Rattus norvegicus: one gene and its partners. The protein of the gene in region 4 interacts with the protein of the main gene of each other region in a pairwise test. Links are inferred from orthologs where the notes say so. Each region holds a gene or a part of one and is shown on either strand. Other genes may lie near its edges.

Region 1 (4,303 bases), on a different chromosome or scaffold from region 4:
TCACGGACAGACAGACAGACTGTAGAGATAGTAAGCACCGCTAGAGCTTATGCAGATACCACCCCTCCCGCCACGCACGCGCGCACACACGCACAGCTCTTCTCAAGACTGGGGTCATCCCCACTTAGTTTTAGGATAACAAGTGCAAACTGTTCTCGTTGCCTATTAGCCTCAAAGCACAGGGACTACCCGAGGTAAGTACGTCACGGGAGTTTAATAATGGTAAGAACTGGCTGTGGCAGCAGGAAGCACCTCACTTGACTGTGTTCTGTTGTTGTTTAATTGTTTGTTTTTAATGAGGTAAGAACCTAGCTAGATCTCAGACGAAGTGCAGAGCTAGCAAAAAGCAGAAATTACTCTCGTCCCCAACCCCTGTTTTTACACTTAAGGGAAACTTAAGTTTCTTAGACGATTAAGACTTGAGCATCTCCAGACTTACCGTCATCTTTCTCTGACTTTCTTTGTTTCTTCCCCGTTGCTTTAGTCTTTGCAGAAGACGTGCTCGGTTGGCTAGACATCTGGCATTCCACTTCTTCCCTTGGCTCCTCTGCACGCCCCTGTGGACAGGGGAGTGGGTTACAGAGTTGCCTGATGTCCTGAGACAGCATAGCCCTTCACTTGCTCTAAACTAACTCATATCTAAGGTCCCCAGGAGGTCAGCGCACGTGTTTACCAGTGTGCATTCTCATGGGACATCATTTGAATAACCAACCTGAGTTATAAAGTAGGGAAGCAATGGTCAGGGAAAGAGAGGGAGTCAAAACGAAAAGCAGGCTTAGCGCCACATGACTGTAACCCTAGTAGTGGCTAAAATCAGGGCCAGGCCAGCCCAGGCTTGTAGGGTTTTTCTCTACATAGCCTCCCTGGCTGTCCTGGAACACAGAAGTACCCCAGTCTTCTTCTTAGACCCACCCACTGTGGGACTATCTTAAAGGAAGGAAGAAAAACATTGCAGTAGCTGTAATCTTAGCACCTAGGCAGTGAATGCAGGTGTGGGGGGGTGGGGGTCACCAAGGGCCAACCTTTGGCTACAGGATAAAACAAATGAAATAGCTATGAACAAAGCAACAGAAGATAATGAAAACTACCCAAGAGTAGTTCCCTCTTTGGGGAAGAAAACCTTACTCTATCTTCTCATATCCCAAATATTTTCCCCCAGTCCTTGGTTCTAGGCTCACCCAAAGACTTTGTAGCCAGGGTGATGTACCAAAGACATTGTACCACTTCCATGGCTGACTTCCCTTCAGAGCCTCTCAGACATGGCCTAGGGACACTTTCCAATTGTGACAACAGCCTGGTGACATGTTAACACCGACCGATCTCTTCTTCAGTTCTTATACCTGACTCCCATCCAAGTCTTAATTCAAAGGTTATTTTGCCAAATCTCTATAAAATCTACCACATATTACCTCATTTCCACTTGTCAATTGATTCCATCTGATTTTAAACTCCACAAGAGTGGAGCCCCTTCCCCTTTTATTGCGGGCAATGGATAATAAATATTCTGCTTAATTAAGGGAACAGAGATTACAAAAACAAAACAAAAGCAACAACAACAAAACTAGAAACGATCCCTAAGCACAGAAAAAACAAACAGGCAAAAAAACCTAACAAGTATTAGGCCTCTTCTAGAAGATACAAGACTAAACACACTCCTTCCCTTTATATAATTTCCTAACTACTACTGTATTTTCAGGACCAAAAGTTTAAAGCTTATTAAGCTGGGTGGTCATGGCACATGCCTTTATCCGAGTTCGAGGCCAGCGTGGTCTACAAGAGTGACTTACAGGACAGCCAGGGCTACAGAGAAACCTTGTTTCAGAAAGAAACAAAATCAAACAAAAAAGCCAGGAGAGGTGGCATTGGGGAGGAAAACCAGCCCGGTTCACAGGACAAGTCCCAGGCCACCCAGGGCTACAGAGAAATCCTGTCTCCCAAAAAACAAAAAACAAAACAAAACAAAACAAAAACTCATTAAATAAATAAGTAAAAACACTAGGTCACTTCGCTGGAAAACCCAGATCTTTTCCAACCCCCACCTTCCCACCCCCCGCCCCCGCAAGAGTGGGAGTAAGTGACAAATTAACATTTGCCTGTTACTAGACACCTCGGTACTTTTTTATATCACAACAGGAACTAGCTTCAGAAGGACAATAAGACTTATATTCGCCTCTTTATAAACTACTCACTTTTGGACCTAACAAAATTTGTACACTAGAGAAAGCTGGAAACGGCTGGAAGGAGCCCTGGAAAGTGCTCAGGATTCTGGCTACTACAGTTAGTTAGGAACCAGCAGAGCCTGTCAGTCAGGTCTGTCTTCTCAAACCTCCTCAACTCTGAGGACCTTTGGATATAAACAAAAGGCCTAGAAGCCAGGTAACAGGCATTTCTGAGTTAAGCCCTCAGGTCTTCTCCCGGCCATTGGGGACTCCAGTTCCTTCCGAGGCTCGGTTCATATCCTGTTTTATCCTGTGACCATTTCCCTCCAGCTACCGCATTCTAAATTCCTTTCTGGCAAATCACAACCTCCTCTCCTAACACATCTACAACCAGGCCCGCGGGCCTCGTGCAAGGCCACGTCAGAGAGGGCGGGCGGAGCCACACACCTACCTACCTTAAAAAAAAAAAATTAAAGTGTAACAAATTGTAACGCTCCTTCTTTTCTTCCCCAAACAAGGCTGGGTATACTCCAAAAAAGAGGCCCTAGACTGACTAGTTTGGAAAGCCGACTTGTAAAAACAGGTCTCACCTTCTTGCTTCCAGACGGCTCCATCTTGAATTTAGATGAGACCTCCGAAAGAAAGTTCTCCTAGCTTCCAAATGACCTATGGCCTCCTTCGGCTTTTAAAAGTCTCCTCCTACTTCCTGTTGTCTTGAGGCCCTCTTCCGTTCCCCTCCCCTCCTGGTCCCACCCCCAACAAAATTGTGATGCTAAAGTCTGGTTTGTGGCTAATTTTAATAAAGCCGCTATTGTGTGGTTTGATTATTTTTGCTTTTTTCCTCTGAATTTCTTTTTTTCTTTTTCTTTTTGGAGGCAGGGTTGCCTGGCCTGAAATGCTTTATATACCTATGTTTATTGTACTGTCTGGGACTCGGGAATACAGAGATTTAAAGGAGCGAGCTGCCACGCCCTACTCCTGGCAACTGTAAATCTGGGAAATTTTAAACTGTAACTATTGCTGGGCGTGGTGGCGAATGCCTTTAATCCCAGCATTCGAGAGGCAGAGGCAGGTGGATCTCTCTGAGTTTTCTGGCCAGCCTGGCCTACATGGTGGGATTCTGTCTTTAAAAAAAAACAAAACCCAGCTCCGAAAAAAAAAAGAACCAAAAAAAAAAAAAAAAAAAATAGGAAAGGAGGGAGGGGGGGAGGGATCGAGGGAGGAAGGAAGGAAGGAAGGAACCTCTAAATATTGCTAAGGGAAAGTGAAGTTCCTAGAGAATTCTGAACAAGCTGTATAAGCAGATTGCAAATTTACCTAATGGAATTAGCAACCTGGACAGGAATGAAAACAACCCATTTCTTGTGACTCCAGAATTCTTTTACTATAAGACCACAGGGGGGTTGTATTGTTTCTGTGGTTTTGGGCTCTCGCAGGACTTTGTTTCTGCATACTAATCAGTCTACCACTGAGCTACAATCCCAGCCCACAAAATTACAACTTTTGTAAATCCTCCCCATCCAACCCTCCTTTTTTTTTTTTTTTTTTTTTTTTTTAAGTTCTCCATAATAGAAGTCCCTAGGGACCCAGAGCACTCTGAGATTTTCCTGTCTCTGACTCCTGACTGCTAAGATTCAAGGTGTGCCCCCTCACGCTGGGCCTGGGCTTGAGTTTCTGATCTTCTAGCCTCCTCAGGATTGGAACTCTGGCCACCAAGCCTGGCTTCAAACCTTAACTTTCTATCTGCCAACTGTTAAAAGGTTTTGTTGGTGCTAGTTGGTTTCTCTGTGTAGCCTGCTATCCTGGACCTGGACCAGGCTGGCTTTGAATTCACATAGATCCTCTCGCCTCTGCCTCTAGAGAGCTGGGACTAAAGGCATGTACTGCCAGCAGACTTTTTTTTTTTTTTTCCCAATAAAAAGTTTTTAAAGTCTACTGAATATGTAGTGAATTCTGGCAGTAAAATTCAGTCACTGTTTTGCAAATGATGATGATTTGTGGGAAACTATACTGGTAACTTGCTTGCCCAGTAAGTGAACATTAAGCTTGACTCTCTATTATGATGTCAGAGGATGCCCTCAGCACCACCATCTCCCACAAAAACAAACAATCAAAAACCAAACCGATCAACAAAACCAAACAAC
Region 2 (4,236 bases), on a different chromosome or scaffold from region 4:
AAGATTAAAACAGAGACTGAAGGAACACCCATTCAGAGTCTGCCCCACATGTGGCCCATGCATATACAGCCATCCAATTAGACAAGATGGATGAAGCAAAGAAGTGCAGACCGACAGGAGCCGGATGTAGATCGCTCCTAAGAGACACAGCCAGAATACAGCAAATACAGAGGCGAATTCCAGCAGCAAACCACTGAACTGAGAATAGGACCCCCGTTGAAGGAATCAGAGAAAGAACTGGAAGAGCTTGAAGGGGCTCGAGACCCCATATGTACAACAATGCCAAGCAACCAGAGCTTCCAGGGACTAAGCCACTACCTAAAGACTATACATGGACTGACCCTGGACTCTGACCCCATAGGTAGCAATGAATATCCTAGTAAGAGCACCAGTGGAAGGGGAAGCCCTGGGTCCTGCTAAGACTGAACCCCCAGTGAACTAGACTGTTGGGGGGAGGGGGACAATGGGGGGAGGGTGGGGAGGGGAACACCGATAAGAAAGGGGAGGGGGGAGGGGGATGTTTGCCCGGAAACTGGGAAAGGGAATAACACTCAAAATGTATATAAGAAATACTCAAGTTAATAATAAAAATAAATAAATAAAATAAAATTAAAAAAAAAGTTAAGTATAGTGAAGGCAGGGGAGATGGCTCAGCAGGTGAAGATCTGGTGACCCAAGTTTGTATTCTCACGTCAAAAGCCAGACAGAATGGCACAGGTCTCTAACCCAGCATTCCTGCAGCGAGAAGGGAAGCAGAGACAGACAGCCCCCTTCCTCCACCGGTGAAGCTTGCAGGCCAGCTCACCTGATGTTTGCAGCCAATGCAGCTGTAGAAACAAGAAGAAAGATTCTGGCTCAAGGTGGAAAGCAAAGCCTAGCCCCTAGGATTGCCCTCAGACCTCCACATGACTGTTGTGGCAAGCACGTGGGATCCCCCACCCACCTAAACACACATACGGAAGCCCAGAACAACAATTCTTAAAAATTTACTACAGTAAGATGACCTCTTTCTGGTGTGCAATGCTATGGATTTGACATGTGCACAATCAGGCACAGCCATTCTCTCTCATCCTGGGTTTTGCCTTTCAGTTTCAATTAAATGCACCCAGGAGCTGGACAGATAGCTCAGTGGTTAAGAGCACTTAATGCTTTTGCAGAGGACCTGGGCTCCATTCCCAGCACCCACAGAGCAGCTCACAACCATCTCTAACTCCAGTTCCAGGGGAGTCAACACCTCTCTGGCCTCTACAGGCACTTGTAGGTATGTACATAGGCAAAGCTCTCTACATAAATTTTTTAATAAAAAAGATAAGTTACGTGGACTCAACAGTCCAGAAAATATGAAATGGAAATTTCTGAAAATTGACAGTTTATAGTTTTTTAACTGCATGGTGTTTTACCGTTCTACTTGATAGTGTTGAGAGTTCCTATTGCAGTCTGAGTGTAATTCTTTCACGTGGCATATGGCCTACAAGGTTTTCTAACCTTTCTTTTAGGCTTGTAGGTGTCAATTTTAGAGGAAAAAGTCTTAATCTTGACAAAGTCCAGCTTATCAGTTGTCTATTTATGGACCATGCTTTTGGTATTTAAACCAAGGTCATAAAATTGGTTTCTTATGATTTCATCTAAAAGTTTTATAGTTCTCCACTTAGATTTATGGTTTGCTTCAAGCTATTTTAGAGTTGTTTTGAAATTCCCATCTAAATACTGAACTTCCTTTAACATTGGCAATTTAAAAAATATTTATTTATTAATATCTATGAGTGTTCTATCTGCGTGTGCAGCTGCACACGAGAAGAGGGCATCAGATCTCATTACAGGTGGTTGTGAGCCACCATGTGGTTGCTGGGAATGAACTCAGGACCTCTGGAAGAGCAGCCAGTGCTCTTAACTGCTGAGCCATTTCTCCAGCCCAAGATGGGCAATTTTAAGTAACCATAATTAATGTTCCTCCCTTTCTCCTTCTCTCCCTTCCTTTCTTCCTTCCCCATTTTTCTTTCTTCCTCTGCTCTCCTCCCCCTTTCTCTCCTTACTGTCTTCTCTCTTTCAGTACTAGGGACGAAACCCTGACCATTACTCAAGGAAGGCAATGTCTAGACCACTAATCTACAACTCCAGTTCTGTAGCTAAAATTTCTAAAAATAGTATTTTCTCAGTGTGATGTGAATTTATAGTGCCAACAGAAGAAAATTTACCCAGTAGAACATTGATAATCTCAGAGACTACAGGAAGACAAATGGGCAGTATCAGCCAGGGTGCTTGCCCCCATCCATGGTGTATGCTGAGACATAGTTATACCATTGATGTCAATGGGGATGACACCTATCTCCCCAAATGCTTCCCTAAGACAAGCAGAGGTGCCCATTCTGACACAGGAAGACCATTCTTCCACACACTACTCATAAGATGTCTGAGTTTCAGAGTTTATTGAAATAGAGCTGTGTTTTACTGTATTGTAATGTAACAAGAATTAACTAGAATTTCTGCCAAGCCAAAGGATTATCTCTAGTCACCCATGGGTTAGGTAGGACTGGCCTATGTGCTTTAAGTGATCACACACCTTGGCCTCCCTGACAGAACTGTGATGCTAAGGATCCTGAAATTCTAAACAGGTGACATGAAGAAGTGCTCCCACAGACGTGTATATTGAAAGTTCGGTTTCCATTTGTGAGAAACATTAGTAGATATGGCCTACCTGGAGGAAGTAGGGTAACTGGGGTTGGTTCCTTAGTGGGTATGTTATATCCACCCCTCTCCAGTTTTGCTCTGCCTTCTGGCCGGCCATGAAGGGAATAGCTTTCTTTACCACATGCTCCCATTGCCATGATGTCCTTTTCAAGCAAGTGAGACCAAGTGAGCATGGACTGAATTTGAAACTGTGAACCGAAAGGAGTTCTCCCATCCCTTTGTTGCTGCTATTGGGACACACTGATGAAAAACTAAGCAACAGAAGCTGCTTCTTACATTTTGTAATCCTGAAATTATCCCTATGATCACCAACCACAGTCACCATGTTCCCAGGGTTTGCAGCTAAGAGTTGACTGCATTTCAAATATTGCCCGAGGGCCTTTGGCAAAGTGCACATTTTTGCTGGGATTCAGCAATTTCTCTGTGCAAGAGTTTCACAGACCAGGGATCTATTTAGCAGGACTGCAGGGTGACTAGATAAGAACGGTGAGTTAATTTTTCATCCCAGAATGACTGGCATAAATTACTTCAAAGGAGGAAAGATTTATTGAGCCCACAGGTTCAGAGGTCTGCCCATTAAGGCAGGTAGGTTAAGGTGAAGCTGAACAGGTCCCATTAGGGCGGTGAGGAAGCAGAGAGGGAAGGCCTACACTGTGATCAGTCTCCTGCCCTATTCCTTTTAATTCCCTCTAGGTTCTCCAGCCTGTAGGTCAGGGCAGTTCCCCCTCTGACATAAATTAATCCTCTCTGGGAAATGCCCTCATAGTCACACCCAGAGGTAGGCTTTGTAATCTCCCAGGTGCTTCTCAACCCAATCAAGTTGACAATAATTTATTCATCACAGATGAATGGGGATTATTCCTCATAAACAGATGGGGTTTTGCTAGGTCACCTAGCTCATTGCTATGACAGCACCTCCGTTTTTCCTGCTCTAGGTCCTAAATGTTTTATAGGTTGCAGGCACAATAAACATTGTACCATTTGACTGCATGATTCTGAGATACTGTTAATATCAGCAACTCTAGGTGTCATGGTAAAGATATTCCCTGACACAGTTTCATTTTCAGTTCCCCATTTAGAACCAATGCATCGAAGTTCGATCATCACAAATCACCAGGGCTCTGACCTTCTGCACCTGGCGATTAGAGTTCGGTGTGACAGAGTAGACGTCGTATTGCCTGAGGTCTAAGGGTCTATGCTGGGTTCGCCTACTGACAGTAAAACACACTTACTGTTTAAGGAGGTCACAGGAGTATTTTAAGCCCCAGGGTTGTTTTGTTTGTTTTCCATCTGAACACTTGCAAGCTGAGACTTTCTTGCCCCTTTGGTTTGGACAGGGTTAGGATTCAGGCAAGAGTATGTTTTCACAAATCAAATTTTAAGTTCATCACAAGACATGGATAGATGGCCCATGGCCTTTTAGTGTTACACTGCCATCCTGGGGAGGGGTCTTACTATTGAGAGACTACAGACCCCGGCTTGTGGGGAAGCAGATGCAATTCCATCGAAGCATTATCGTATAGGATCAATCCCAATTAGACTTTATCC
Region 3 (4,119 bases), on a different chromosome or scaffold from region 4:
GCTGCTCTTACAGAGGTCCTGAGTTCAAATCCCACAGTGGTTCAAGATTATCTATAAAGGAATCTGATGCCCCCTTCTGGCATGCAGGTGTACATGCACCAGAGCACTTATACATTAAATAAAGTAAGTAAACAAAGTAAATAAGTAAAAACAAAAGAGTAATGAAAGGGGCACACAATCACAATACACTGTGTATTATATGTATAAAATTGCCAGAAAATTTAGAATTTAAAGAAAAAAGGGGTTGGGGATTTAGCTCAGTGGTAGAGCGCTTGCCTATCAAGCGCAAGGCCCTGGGTTCGGTCCCCAGTTCTGAAAAAAAGAAAAGGAAAAAAAAAAAAGAAAGAAAGAAAAAAGAAAAACAAAAATACCCAGAAACCAGTTCCTACAGAGAGTAGAATGTGGAAGTGTGAGCAACCCCAAAATCTAACCAGACCCCTGAAAAACCACGTGAAATCTGCCACTTGCTGTACAATTGATGGTTACAGAGCCAGATGTTGTGGCCAACACCTGTAATCCTGGCAATTGGGAAGGGGAGGCTTCAATTACACAAAGTTTTCAAAGCCATCCTGGGCTACATGAGATTCTCGAAAAATAAAGAATTCTTACAAATATGATGTAAAGTCTCTTAAAAACAACTACCATCTTCTGCACTCTGAATTTAGGAAATGCTAGTTTCTTTGGGGAAAAAAAAAAACACCTCAAGGAACTTCTAGATTCAGGGTCTGGTGCAGGTTCCACATTAGAGTCCTCCAATATAACTAGTGTTTGAAGCAGGAGGAATCCAAGTTCCAGATCAGCTAAGAGTATACCTTAAAAAGGGAAAGAAGCGGGGCTGGGGATTTAGCTCAGTCGTAGAGCGCTTACCTAGGAAGCGTAAGGCCCTGGGTTCGGTCCCCAGCTCCGAAAAAAAAGAACCAAAAAGAAAAAAAAAAAAAAAAAAAAGGGAAAGAAGCCAAACATTGTGACCCACAACTTAATTCCAGACAGTGGCAGAGTTCTGAAAGCCAGCCTGGTCTTTTCAGTGTGTTCTAGATCATTCAGAACTACACTTTGAGACACTGTTTCAGTAAACAAATACATAAATAAATAAATAAATAGAACCAAGTGTAGTAGTACACCGTTTAAGGGAAGAGGATCTGAGCTACACAGAGTTTAAGGCCAGACTGGGATTGAAACCCTGTTTCTCTTAGTGTTTGGTCTGCCTATATATAGACAAAACGAATAAAAGGAGGGCTAAGGATACTGATTAGTTGATAAAGTGCTTGTCTATCCTTCCACACTCAAAAAGATCACCCAGACTGAGGCTGAGGCAGAATTCAAAACTTCAAGTCAGTCTGGGCAACTTGGCAAACCATCTCAAAAAAATAACAAGGGATGGGAATATAGCTCTGTGGGAGAACAGAAAGCCGGGCACACTATGTATGTAGTGGAGGATGACCTTGAACCTCTCTGATCCTCTTACCTTAAACAATGTACTACTACACTTGGTTCTATTTATTTACCTTTTGTCAGACCTTAAGTTCAACCCTAGAACCAAAAAAAAAAAAAAAAAAAAAAAAAAAGTAAACCGTAAACATCTGTGAGGCAGGCATGGTGGGTGGCACATGCCTGCCTGCAATGCTGAGCTTGGGAAGCTGACACAGTAAGACTGACTGAAGCCAGCCTGGGCTGACCCTATAAGGGAGAATTAGCCTTTCCAAGGGACAAACTCCCCAAATGGCTAGCCAATCCCAAATGGTATGCTTTACAAACTAATACATAACACTAAATGAACTCAGCAAGTTGCATGAATTTGGCGAGAGGAGTGGATGACAGGTGAGTGGCTGGAGGAAGGAGATCAATTATATTTGAATTAAAATAAAAGGTCATTGGGTAGAGATTTTTCAGGCATAGATAAGTCATCAGCACCACACAAGCACAAAAAAAGATTCATAACTTTCAAAGAAATCTACCTAATTTCTAGTATCTAATACCTAATATCAAGTGACCCTAGTAAAAAGGAATACATTAAAGAGACAGTCCAAGTACGGTTCACTGAAAAATCCCCACTCCAGTCACTGTGTTTGAGGCACTTAATAAAATGATCTCTCTCTCTCTCTCTCTCTCTCTCTCTCTCTCTCTCTCTCTCTCTCACACACACACACACACACACACACACACACACACACACACACACACACACACACACACGGGACACGGGAGACAAGTACCCACATGAAAGAGATGGAAAACAAGGCCTCAAAGTTTAACTCACTCGGGGTTAGCACAGCCAACTTCAGATTCAAACCTCAGCTGTCATACTGTCCTAACCACCACAATGAATTAACAAGTCAGGGTAGGTGTGCGGGCTAGAAAACTGGGTAAACAATAAGCAGCAAGCTGCAAGAACAGACTGATCGTATTTAAAAAAAAAAAAAAAATAGGGCACCAGGGTAGCCTGACTACTGACTCACATTTAAAGGAAGAGTCCGGCTGCCAAACTGAACTGACAGGCATCAACCACCCTCAAAGTTGAAAGGAAATCTTGTCACCTCACCCCTGAGCCACAGGTCCTCCAACGCCAGAATCCGGGCGACTCTGGAGTCCCCGGGTCCCGCGGCGTCCCGCGCCCCCTGCCCGCGCGGCCACCGCTACCTACGGACGTAGGGCTCCTCGCGGCCTCCCGCCCCCGGGCTGAGGCCTAGGCCGGGGCCGCCCACCCTGACCCACCGCGTCGCCTCCCGGCCCGAGGCCCCGCACTAACCGTTGTATGACTTCCCTTCGTCCGCCATGGCACAGGCAGGTACAGGGGCGGGCTCAGGCGCAGAACCTGACGCCACCAAACACCCGGACGCCTTGGCGCTCAGGACAGAAGCTCTCCTACGACCGGCGCCACCGCATTTATCCGGCGAAGCACGTCGCGCGCAGCCGACGTCCCCAGGATGTGGGCGGTGCCGCGGGGCAGGAACGCGCTCTCTGAGCCTGCGCAGAAGCAGGGCGGCCGCTCGGAGGCGTGGCCAGGCCCTCCGAGGCCCGCCCACGGCCGGAGCTCGGGGCGCGATGGCTTGTAGGTCGGCCCCGCCTTCCTACTTCTCCGCTGGCCCGCAGCGCTGAGGTTTGCGCTGGAGCTGAGCGGTCTGCTTTAGCCCTGAACTCAGGAGCAGGGACGAGAGCTACACAGAAGAATGGAGACCTGGCCTCTGAACGGGAGTAACGGATCACAGTCCACGCAGGTGGGATCCCGGCAGCGTGTAAGTCGCAGCGCAGTTCCTTGCCAGCCGCCGGCTTATGCCCTCCCAGCCTTTCTCGCCTCTACGACGGATTATGACGAAATAGAAAATTGGAATGTAAGCCCCACTGGAACAGGAACCTTAACTTATGCGCAACTTTTCTTCCTCCAGCGTGCCTGGCACAGTATCATGCCCATTGTGAAACCCAAGTGTGAATTAAGCGAAATCCTGTCCTGTTCCCTTGTAGGTCTTCTACAAATTGCCTAATTAAAGCGTCAGGCGAGCTGTAGTGGCGCAGGTCTTTAAACCCGTATTTGGAAGGCAGAGGCAGGTGGATCTTTAAATTTGAGGCCAGTCTCAGCTCTATAGAAATTTCTAGAATAGCCAGAGCTTGTAGAGGCCCTGCCTCAAAAAAAAAAAAAAAAAAAAAGCTTTAGTCTTAGTACCAGTATTTTTGTCGACATAGCCAGTACAGAGATAGCGAAGGCTACATAGACGGTCTCAAAACAAAATTAGTAATCTAGTGAGCTATGATCTTCACCCCCAAGGCCCTGGCCATCATGCTGAAGCCTAATTGGTAAAACCCAGGTTAGCTAGGTAGGTAGGGAAAGTTGCTAGTATTGAGTGGTTTTGTTTGAGACAGGGTTTCTGTATAATTCTGGCTGTCCTGAAACTTGCTTTGTAGACCAAGTTGGCCTCAAACTCAAGAGATCCACTTGCGAGGTTGGGGATTTAGCTCAGTGGTAGAGCGCTTGCCTAGCAAGCACAAGGCCCTGGGTTCAGTCCCCAGCTCCGGAATAAAAAAAAAAAAAAAAAAATAATAATAATAATAATAATAAAAGAGATCCACTTGCTTCTAACTCCCAAGTGCTGGTTGAAATTTTTAGATGGCAAACCCAAGAGCTCT
Region 4 (4,357 bases):
AAGTACATGAAAAACTTTAAACATTGAATAATGAGAAAATAGAATTTAACATGAAAAAATATGTGAACCAACATTTCCAAAGAGAAAATGCACCAATAGAAATCACTGGTGAAGATGCAGAATATCATGAAGTTCTAGGAAAAAAGAGGGTGAAACTTCGAGATACAGCCCTGCCAGATAAACAAGAAAATAGTAAGGAAAATGTGAAAATGTCACGTGCCAGTAAGGGCACACAGAATTGGCATTAACACACTGATGCTGGAATGGAAAATTATACAAACTGAAAATGGCAGGAAAAAAAAATACCATCATACTGTATATGTCCATTTTCTTTTAAAGTACTTTTGTTAGTTATTTAAGTTCATACAAGTTGAGCATATTCACCACTGTCTCTTCTAAAACCATCCAGATTCATGCCCTTTGTCCTGCCCACCGAACTTTGTGGGGTTTTGGTTTGGTTTTGTGTTTGGGGTTTTGTGTTTTGTTTTTAACTCATCCAGTCTGCTTTGGGTTATCTTTATATTCTTGGGTATAGGGTCATCCATTAGACTTTAAGCCACACCCTTAAGCAAAACTGATGCTTCCTTTTTTAGAAGCCATCAACTGACAATCGTCTTCACATAGATGTGAAATATACCCACCTCTTCTCCCCGTGGTGAAATTCTGTTGGGCTTGAACTTACACGGGTTGTATACATTCAGTGACTGTGGGTTTCATGTGAAACCACATAGTTGTTCCCAGAAAGTACTGTTTCTTTGTCCTTATCCACATTGACAAGCTCTAACATTCTTTTTCACTCCTTCTTCTGCAATAATCCCTGACTTGGGTGAAGAGGTATGATTCACTTATCATATTTGGGCTGAGAATTCTGTAGTTTATTACTCTAGTGCACCGGAGCTGCTTTTAGTTCTTTATGTTAGCACCATTTACTTCAAAAAGAAGCTACTCCGATGACGGTGATGAGGGTTGAACTACCCACAAATCTACTAGCATAGTGCTAAGTTTTATACTAACACTGTGTCCATTTAGCAGAATAATAATAGCAAATTCTTCCCTAGGGACTATGAATTACCTGATCAAAAGTTCTTGCCCTCAATAATTGTGCTAGTTATGTGTTTCATCTTGTGGAACAGGCCTTAAATGAAAAAAAATAGTTTACTACATTTAAAATATCCATGCCACCATTGTACAACTGAGTTAGTTACTGATTATTTTTCCATTCTGTTAACGTACATAGCACCTTTCAGCAACATGGAATTTATCCAGTAAGAATGAAGCTATCAGATGGATACCAGTTTGACTTCTTTCTGTTCTATGACTCAAGTATGCGGTGTCATCAGAAATAAGGTCTTACTGTCAAGTTCTGGAGGATAACCAAGAGCAATATCAATAGCATTTAATAGTTGGAGGTCTATGGGACTTCACTGGCTAACAGCTCCAATATATGTGGGAATAGGTTTCCATATGACTTTGTACATAGATCTTTTGTTATTGTTCTATGTATATATTCTTCTAACCAGTTTACCCATCTCCCACCTTATTCATTCCTCCTATTTCACTATTCCCTTTTCTCCCTTTAAATGATTGCATCATTTAATTGGTCCCTTAAAAGCATCCTATGCCCCACCATATGTCCTTACTAGTTTCCTGACTTCCATGGGCATTTCAAAATAAATACACAAATCTGAAGATGCAAAACTAGCATCTGCAACAAGTAAAAGCAATCAACATTTGTCCTTTGGGGAGGAGGGTGTCTGTTTTACATCATTCAGAATGATTGTTTTCAAATACATGCATTTACCTGAAAAATTCAACTTTAGTATTCAATGGGTGAATGGTATTGCATTGTATAAATGTATTATATTTTTACCATCCATTCATTGGTTGATGGACATCTGGGAGTTTCCATTTCTGGTTATCATAAATACAGAAGCATTGAACATGAATGAGACAGTGTCTCTTTAGTAAGATATAGGGTTCTTTTGGTATATGCCCAAGCAGTAGATTAATTTCCAGTGTTTTGAGGAACTCTACACTAATTCCACAGTGAACACACTGATGAATAACTTCAACAAGTAGTGAACAAGTGCTTCCTTTCCCCAAATCCCTACAAGTATTTGTCATCACTTGCTATTTGTATCTTAGTCATTTTGACTGAAGTAAGAGGAAATTTGAAAGTAGTTTTACTTTGCATTTCCCTAATGGCTAAGGATGTTGACCATTTAACAAAATGTCTCCGTCATATTCATTTCATCTTTTGAGAGCTCTTTGTTTAATTTTACGCCCCATTTTTTACTTACATTGTTTGTTTTCTTGATGTGTAGTTCCTTGTTTACTCTAAATATTAACGTGTCAGATATATATGTTGTTGAAAATTATAAAAATAAAATGCTGTCTTATACCCTCTCTAGGTCCGGCACCACAGTACCCCCAAGATATCTGATAGATATCCCAAACTCAGTCAGCAAAGCGTCTCACCTGCTCTGCTGCATCCCATATCACACTGCCGAAGGCCTCTCTGAGCCTGGAAGAAATCTCTCTACCTATCTAGGTCCCAAGGCAGGTTTCCATGCCAGAAACACACATCCCAACTCCATGTCGACCCAGACAAGCCGCCCCACACTTCCTTACATTTAAATCTACACATGAAAGATGATACAACACAATAATTTTTGATCCAATTGATAAAATACAATTGCCCACCTAAACATACAAAGCCCATTACACATCCATCCCTTAAGAACATATATAACCTGCTGAGGTACAGCGTGGAATCTAAACACAGGCTTCCAAATTGTTCTGCCGCGGCTTCGCTCCTCTCTCCTCCCCTCTTCCGTTTCTGTCTCCTCCTCTTCCTTCAAAACTTTCTCCCGCCCATCCTTCCTTTTCGTCCAATGACAGGCCTCATTCTATCTTGTACCTGCCTCACCAGTGACATCATCCCACATACATAATTGTTAAAGTTTTTCCCATTCTAAAGGCTGCCTCGTTACTTAAGTGATAGTGTAGTGTCTTTTGTTTTACAGAAGCGGTCTAGTTCATGAGTTACCATGTATTAATTGGATTTAATGTATTAACTACTGGGGAAAATGCATTCCTGTGTCAGTAAATTCAAGTATAATCCAAATATTTTCCTCTACCAGATTCAGACTATCAGGTTTTATGCTGAGGACCTTTATCCACTTGTAGCTCAGTTTCAAGCAGATTAACAGATAAAGATATAGTTTACACTCTCTATGAATAGCAAGAGAAACTAGAAGAGATAATATCAGCTCCGTATCCTACAACAAAAAACAATAAATGGAATTAGAACCGAAGGGCAACGTGATTATTAGAGAAATGAAAATACTCTAAAGTTGAGGTTAACTTCTCATTGTATAATTTTGTAAATTTGTTGGAAATGTTAACTATATGTTTACTGTAGGTAAATATTTTGGCTAACAGCACAATAAAATTGTTTTACTATCAAGCTATGCAATCAAATTATTGTTCATTTCTTTTTTTTTTATTAACTTGAGTATTTCTTATATACATTTCGAGTGTTATTCCCTTTCCCGGTTTCCGGGCAAACATCCCCCTCCCCCCTCCCCTTCCTTATGGGTGTTCCCCTCCCAACCCTCCCCCCATTGCCGCCCTCCCCCCATAGACTAGTTCACTGGGGGTTCAGTCTTAGCAGGACCCAGGGCTTCCCCTTCTACTGGTGCTCTTACTAGGATATTCATTGCTACCTATGGGGTCAGAGTCCAGGGTCAGTCCATGTATAGTCTTTAGGTAGTGGCTTAGTCCCTGGAAGCTCTGGTTGCTTGGCATTGTTGTACTTTTGGGGTCTCGAGCCTCTTCAAGCTCTTCCAGTTCTTTCTCTGATTCCTTCAACAGGGGACCTATTCTCAGTTCAGTGGTTTGCTGCTGGCATTTGCCTCTATATTTGCTGTATTCTGGCTGTGTCTCTCAGGAGCGATCTACATCCGGCTCCTGTCGGTCTGCACTTCTTTGCTTCATCCATCTTGTCTAATTGGGTGGCTGTATATGTATGGGCCACATGTGGGGCAGGCTCTGAATGGGTGTTGCTTCAGTCTCTGTTTTAATCTTTGCCTCCCCCTTCCCTGCCAAGGGTATTCTTTTTCCTCATTTAAAGAAGGAGTGAAGCATTCACATTTTGATCATCCGTCTTGAGTTTCGTTTGTTCTAGGGATCTAGGGTAATTCAAGCATTTGGGCTAATAGCCACTTATCAATGAGTGCATACCATGAATGTCTTTCTGTGACTGGGTTAGCTCACTCAGGATGATATTTTCCAGTTCCAACCATTTGCCTACGAATTTCATGAACTCGTTGTTTTTGATAGCTGAGTAATATTC

The links.
Region 1: the proteins of Ldoc1 (region 4) and Dppa4 interact in binary tests that used the Homo sapiens proteins (3 or more experiments, as listed by UniProt). The two-hybrid records come from large-scale screens. The link is inferred for Rattus norvegicus from reciprocal best matches to the Homo sapiens genes LDOC1 and DPPA4.
Region 2: the proteins of Ldoc1 (region 4) and Fam50b interact in binary tests that used the Homo sapiens proteins (3 or more experiments, as listed by UniProt). The two-hybrid records come from large-scale screens. The link is inferred for Rattus norvegicus from reciprocal best matches to the Homo sapiens genes LDOC1 and FAM50B.
Region 3: the proteins of Ldoc1 (region 4) and Nxf1 interact in binary tests that used the Homo sapiens proteins (3 or more experiments, as listed by UniProt). The two-hybrid records come from large-scale screens. The link is inferred for Rattus norvegicus from reciprocal best matches to the Homo sapiens genes LDOC1 and NXF1.

What each region holds. Positions count from the first base shown.
Region 1 is NC_086029.1:66,038,913-66,043,215, forward strand, and holds the start of Dppa4 (developmental pluripotency-associated protein 4), read right to left. Parts: upstream 2,843-4,303; 5' UTR 2,774-2,842; coding exon 2,750-2,773; intron 558-2,749; coding exon 440-557; intron 1-439. UniProt on the Homo sapiens protein: May be involved in the maintenance of active epigenetic status of target genes. May inhibit differentiation of embryonic cells into a primitive ectoderm lineage.
Region 2 is NC_086035.1:30,391,344-30,395,579, forward strand, and holds the start of Fam50b (protein FAM50B), read right to left. Parts: upstream 2,843-4,236; 5' UTR 2,696-2,842; intron 1-2,695.
Region 3 is NC_086019.1:215,083,286-215,087,404, reverse strand, and holds the start of Nxf1 (nuclear RNA export factor 1), read right to left. Parts: upstream 2,843-4,119; 5' UTR 2,775-2,842; coding exon 2,747-2,774; intron 1-2,746.
Region 4 is NC_086039.1:145,000,239-145,004,595, reverse strand, and holds the start of Ldoc1 (protein LDOC1 precursor), read right to left. Parts: upstream 2,830-4,357; 5' UTR 2,754-2,829; intron 1-2,753. UniProt on the Homo sapiens protein: May have an important role in the development and/or progression of some cancers.